2 linked regions of the Sus scrofa genome follow. The protein of the gene in region 1 binds, or shares a complex with, the protein of each later gene. Links are inferred from orthologs where the notes say so. Each region holds a gene or a part of one and is shown in the gene's direction. Other genes may lie near its edges.

Region 1 (2,934 bases):
TAAAAAATTGTTATTCTGTTTGCAGATTATTTTTGTTTTTTGAAGGGTTTTTATTTTTATTTCTTATTCACGAAATATTTGAGAACCTACAATGTGCAAAGTTCTGTAGTATTGCTGTAGAGAATCATAACTCATAGAAATAAAGTACATAGGGGAAGAGCTATGTAAATGACGTGAAGAATTTTCCAATTTGAACTCGTTTTGCTTCTTTAAAATTTTTATATCTACTAAAGTTAAGAAAACGAAAGCATTGCCTATTGCTTCTGAATTGAGACACTTTGAGAGGTCAGTTTGTCTTTTTCGACTGACTTTCGGAAGAGAGTTCTTGTCCTCCTCCCTCCCCCCGGGAATTTATCTTGCTCCTTCTTAAAAGCATAAATTTAAATACTTAGCATGTATAATGGTCTCATACCGTTAAGTTCCTTTTTGAAAATGTTCGATGCTGTTTTATTTTCAAGTTGGAACAATGAAGGCCTTTTTCTTGATGATACCCTAAACCCGAGAGATAGGAATTGGTCCTTTTCACCTGCTTCTTAAGCCCTTCCACGCATGCTGATGGTACTTTGGATCCCTGTCCTTTCTGTCCCAAAGATTTTGCTTCCCGTTGCTTTTTCCAAGGAGCTGGCTCTGGAAATAATGTTTGGTGGTTTCTTGCTAATCTGATGACATGAGCCACCAGAGCACTGGGTTTTAAATAAAATATTAGTAGACTGTTTTAACAAGCAAGTTTGGGGATTGCTCTTTCCTCTCAAAAGACCTCGTTAAGGGTTGGACCCTTGCTGCATCTGTGTAGCACAAAGGTTGTTTCTTATGGGAGGAGAGACTGGATGACTTGTATTGATGCTCTTGCTATTTCCCACAGGCTCCTACCCAGAGATTCTACCCAGTGAAACTCCCACAGCAACGCAGGTAGATGGGGCTGACCTGGCCTCTCCAATGTCTCCTCGAACTAGCAAAAGCCGCATGTCCATGAAGCTGCGTCGTTCCTCTGGTTCAGCCAATAAATCCTAAGGAGACAGCAGCCCAGCAGTGGCCAGCAGTAGCCACCTTAGCATGCACACAGCATTAACCCTTTCCAGCTTCGTGTTTGCCATAACATGCATGTTCCTTCCTGAACATTTATTTTAGAAAACACTGGATTTAAATAATTTGTAACTTAATATTTTAGATTTGGATTGTTTATTCAGTTGTTTTTCCCACACACACACTCCAAGCTGCCATAAGGGGGAGAGGGGTGGAATTTTATTCTGCACCCTTTTCCTTCCCTAGATAATTATGTCTAAGTAGTTTTAATTTTATAATTAACTTTGAGCCAAAATATAACTGGCCAGATAGTCTCATTATTTTATTTATCTTGCCCCATTGCAACTTTATGGCTCAGTAAATATATAATTTTTTATAAATGTGCATCTTTAAATTTAAACATTTGTAAAGTTATAGCAAAGGTTACAGATCTGTTAATACACAGGATGTGTATGGATTATTTATGTTACGAAAATAAAACACTTAAATGGTTTTTTGAAGCATCTCGAATTCCAGCTGAAATAATTTTAGCATTAACTTTTTCTTCCCGAACCAATATCTCATTTCTTGGCTGTGCAGGCAATGCCATGACACATCTAATAATCAGAAAAATCACTGTGCTGAACTTTGATTCATGTTTAGCTTCCAAATATTTTTCTAATGTTCTGCTTTTTAAATGGTATCACTGTTAAATGCCATTTCTGTTTTGAGATTGTGGCCCCTTATTATTGGCTGCTGGATCCTGGTGTATCTGTGTTCTTCCTTAAGTATCAAAAAGGGAGGAATTGGGGGTGGGGCAAAAGAAGACTTTCTGATATAAAGTCTGTGGCTTAAATTATGTGTAGTACTTTAAAAAAAAAAAAAAAGAACATAACCCAGGAGTCTAAATTAATCTGATGTTGTTAATACTGAATTTGCAGTCACAGGTTGGTATACATTCCACCCACCAGAAGTATTTTCCTACAGTAGATAAGCTGCTCACATTTTGTTTTGAACAGGCATCTCCTAAGGAAATGTAGCATGACATTGATACTAACTGCATGTGTAAATACATCATACTGCAAACTATAAAATATAAATTATGTATCATCATTCATGTAGTATCTACAAATTTGTAACAGTGGAAAAAAAGATGGTATTTAATAATACAATAAAAATATTCTTCTCATTTCCTGTCCATGAGTATTGATTTGTCCTTGTATTTCTTTTGTCTTTTATATATTTTCAGACTTAATAAACAAGGCTTCGTGATTGATGGAGAGATATAAAACATAAACCTAGCTAATCGTGAAAAGTGAATTTTAATTACCTTCTTAAGCTACACCCCAATTTATTTCTCAGAGGTCTTCCACAGTCATTAAAAACACATTTTACACGTTCATACGAGCTAGCCAGAAACTACCCCCCACCCAGTGCACTTGGTTAAAAACATCAATTTATCTCACCCTCATGCTTCTTTGATTTCTTAAATTTTACTTTTTTTTTGTAATAGACACTAAAGAGCAAAACTTTTTACAGACAGTTTCTAAAACAAGCTTTCAGAGTTCCTGTGCTCTTTAAATTTGGGGTTTTCTTATAAATAAAAAATGCATATGAAACTAAAGAAAATAAACTAGAATTTCCCATAAAAGCTTATATAGAGGATAAACATGTATAGAGTCCCCAGGAACAAGAGTAAACAATATGGACAGTTTCCCACAACCAAGGTGAAGAATTACAAAAAGAAGGTAATTTTTAAAAAAGATAAAGTAACTACTTACACATTTTCAATAGTGCCTTCATTTTTAAAAAATGAACAGCTATTGGATTGATAATGTGTAACAAAATGGAGTGAAAGTACCAGCTTAAAATAATGAAGTTAGCATAGTTAACATTTTGTTCATCTTCAGATAACACTTCATAAAAGAAGAA
Region 2 (3,830 bases), on another chromosome or scaffold:
TTGTTTTTTTTTTTTGGTTTTGTTTTGTCTTTTTGTCTTTTTAGGGCTGCCCTCATGGCATATGGAGATCCCAGGCTAGGGGTTAAATTGGAGCTGTAGCCTCCGGCCTACTCCAGAGTCACAGCAACGTGGGATCCAAGCCGAGTCTGCGACCTACGCCACAGCCACAGCCACAGTGGATCAACAACCCACTGAGCAAGGCCAGGGATCGAACCCGAGTCCTCATGGATGCTAGTCCTGCTGAGCCATGACGGGAACTCCTAGTCTGTTTTCTAAGTACTGGCTGCCATCAAGGAATTCTGCCATGTAGTTCACCTCTAACTTAAAATGTTTGCTTCTCTGAACTGGTTAGCTTTAGATTTATATAACAGTACACTATGCTTTGTAAGTGTAACATTGAGCTGGGAAGGGTTAATGAACTAAAATTTTAATGCACGTTCTGGGCACTTCAAAACCTCAATTCTTTGTAGTTGTGTAATTTTCTTTGTTCATTGTTTTGCATGATACAAAAATCATAATTTTGGATCTGAATGCACAATTTCCTGTTTTTGAACTAGCTTGTGGTATCATAAAGCTTTTAATTTAACTTTTAAAAAGCTAAAAAGCTTCTTAACGTATTGTAAAATTTCACCATCTTTAAAGTATTTTATAATTACTGCTGTCCTTTGATTTGTTTCCATTTATTTCTATTATCTTGCAGCATCTTTTATCCAAATTCTTCTTTCTTATAAATCTTGTAAGTAGGAACCAGAAGCTTCTCCTTAATTGCAGTCATGTTTTTATTTTTTTCATAATTCCATTAAAAATTTTGATTGTCATTGTCTCTTGTAGTTTTTGCACTTGGGAAGAGAAATATTCTGTGTTTTGAATGGGGAAGATTGTTGGCAAAAGCAAATTAATCTGCCTGAATCAGTCCCATTATTTTTGTACACTAGTCTGGTCATGTCATGAATTCCAGGATTTTGCACTAACTGTGTTTTGGCTTTTTTTTTTTTTTTTTTAATTTAAAGCTTTAAGCTTATTTTTATACAGATTTAGTGTTTGATTTGTATGCATTCTGCATGTAGTGTTTTTCAATTGTATTATTGCTGGATAGCTTTTATTCAGGGCTAAAAATGGCTCATGGGAAGTTGCATAAAGATTTATGCTTGACTCTGCATTCTGTTAAATCTAATATTACAAAATAATTTAAACATTTCATGTAGAGTGATAAAAGATTTCAGAGTGATTTTCAATTCACTGTGAAATCTTTTGTTAAAAATAAAAGCAACTTTCGAAGGGCTTCTGTTTCAGTGACAGCGAAATATTTCTTACCAATCCAGTTTTCTGATTTATCAACCTCAAGTTAGCTGCTGTCTGTGGTTGTTAAAATTCATTCTCATTTTGCTTGGTTGGGCGATTCTTTGGTGTGTGTTTTGGAGTTGGGTGGGTGGTGGGAATGTTCTCTCTTCCTCCCTACCCATTTCTTATCCTTACCTTGCCCTCTCCCTGAAGTTTACAACCTGGCATGGAATTGCCCATTCAGTTGCAATGTCTGGGGTAATGTGTAAATTGCAGTAGCTGTTTTTCTTATTGTTTAATAGGGAGAGGAAAAAAACCTGAGAATAAAAAATAGAAAAGCCAAATTCTGTGTTATATATCTGTATGTATAGGAATACAGATATATGCAAATGTACTCAATCAAAAATTCAGTTGAAAAATGCTTCTTGTAGAATCTATTAAACTGACAATACCACTGTAAATTGTTACCCCTTTTCAAGGTAGATTTCAGAGAGCCCTTTTTTAAAAAAAAAAAATTAAAGACATAGTTGCTGAACAAAAGCATTATTGGATTCTATTCAAGTAGCTATTAAATGACATCAACATTTGATCTTTGTGTCCAGGGTCCCATGAGCCTATTTGCATATCAACAAATATAATAAAACTCCTCCTTTTTTCTCCCCAGCCATTACAACACAAGCTAGCATGGAGTTTCGACGAAAAGGGTCACAAATGTCCACAGACACCATGGTTTCCAATCCCATGTTTGATGCAAGTGAATTTCCTGATAACTATGAAGCAGGAAGAGCTGAGGCTTGTGGGACACTGTGTAGGATTTTTTGTAGCAAGAAGACTGGAGAAGAGATTCTGCCAGCTTATTTATCCAGGTCTTAGTTTTTTTTGTTTGTTTGTTTATTTTTCCATTTATATAGTTGTGATAGTGAAACCCTATTGTAGCATGGCTGAAGTAGTAGGCTGAATTGATAAGTAAAATGTTGGTTTGAAATACCTGCAAATGTATGTAAGTAATCGACATTTTTGCTTGAATTCTTCCTTTTTTACCTAATGAGATTTGTTGAAGACCCTTAACAACCTTTTTATTTTAGGAGAATTATTTATTTCATCTTATTTGACTTTTATTAATTATGAAGAGATTTGGAAGGGCCACACTAAATTTTTAATACATTTTTACCACAGTATTAGACAATATGGATGGTCCAGAATGCTTATTTTTTCAAGTGAGTAAAGCCGTGTACCCAGGTAACACTGATCCAAGAGCAATAGGAAGTTGGTAGGAGAGAGGCACAGGAAGAAGCAGCATACGTTTCCCCTGGGGATTCAGAAAAGAGTTACAGAGGATTGGATGATTGTGTTGGACTTAGAGAAGTTGACTGGTGTTTAGACTATGGTAGCAAGTTGGGTAGGGTCATCTATCCAAATCTGTGACTTCAATCTTTTTGAATGGCTCTGCCATTCATTAAGTTGCTTATGCCAGAAACTAGGAATCATTTTAGGCTTCTCTAGTCTCCCTCTGTATCTTTAGTTGGTCAGCCAACTCTGCTACTTAACCCTCTTTATAATCTCTCCACTCTGTCCCCACCATGACACTTCAGGCCTTGTCACGTTTTCCCTAAATTAACTTGTAGTGGCCTCCTGTTTTCCTTGCCTCTGTTTTGCCTTTCTCAACGGATCATTCACACAGCTGCTAAAGTGATGCTAATGTCAATCAAAACATTCAAGTGTCTGTGACCCTCTAAAGTCAGGACATGCAGCAAGTTTTCATGAAGGGCAGAAACCAGGGGCTAGAAAATGTTCAAGGACCAAAACAACTTTCTTCTTTTCTGTTTCTCTGTCATCATGGCCTCCCAGAACTGCTTCATTTTCTCTTATCTGCAGACCACTTTCTTACATTGCAACATGCTTCTAAGTTCCTAATTTCCATGGCCTTGGTATAGGTGACCAGCAGGGCCAATTTTAGCATTCTGAATCCTAATTTCAGATTCCTGGGAAAGAGATCTGATTAATCAGCTGTCTACCTCTGGTCTAATCAGCTGCTGCTGTGAAGCCGGGTCATATTGGATACTGGCATCCCTTATGGTGGGGGCACATTTCTTAGGAGGGAGACGATGGATTGGGACTATACTCCAAACAGTATCAATAGCTGTAAGGGAGAGGGCTGTGACCATGAGCCTTCCATCTGGCCCATACAACTGGATGGTTGGTAGTATGATCAACCAAAACAACAGATTTGTGAGGGGGCCAAGGATGAACTTAGTATTGAGCCTATTGAATTTGAGGTGCCTGTGGGATATTTATCAACAAATATTTATTAAGTTCCTACTTTGTGTCAGGCACTGTGCTCAGGAAATACTAGAGTATCATCCATAGGCATGTCCTGTCCTCAGGTGTCCAGTATGCTTTTGACTGATAGATCTGGACCTAGAGACTGGCTTAAGTAGTGTTTAAAACCAGGTTAGTTGAAGAGATAGCTTAGAGAACTGAAGGGAGGATTGAATGCTTTAAAAAGGCAGAATAAGTTAAGACTTAGGCATGTCTTCTGGATTTAGCAA

The links.
Region 2: RALGAPA1 (region 1) and RALGAPB share a complex: the UniProt entries of both Homo sapiens proteins name them as parts of the heterodimeric RalGAP1 complex. The link is inferred for Sus scrofa from reciprocal best matches to the Homo sapiens genes RALGAPA1 and RALGAPB.

The regions. Positions count from the first base shown.
Region 1 is NC_010449.5:64,370,496-64,373,429, forward strand, and holds the end of RALGAPA1 (ral GTPase-activating protein subunit alpha-1), read left to right. Parts: exon of another isoform or gene 1-862; coding exon 863-1,011; 3' UTR 1,012-2,188; downstream 2,189-2,934. UniProt on the Homo sapiens protein: Catalytic subunit of the heterodimeric RalGAP1 complex which acts as a GTPase activator for the Ras-like small GTPases RALA and RALB.
Region 2 is NC_010459.5:41,549,196-41,553,025, forward strand, and holds part of RALGAPB (ral GTPase-activating protein subunit beta), read left to right. Parts: intron 1-700; coding exon 701-736; intron 737-1,945; coding exon 1,946-2,147; intron 2,148-3,830. UniProt on the Homo sapiens protein: Non-catalytic subunit of the heterodimeric RalGAP1 and RalGAP2 complexes which act as GTPase activators for the Ras-like small GTPases RALA and RALB.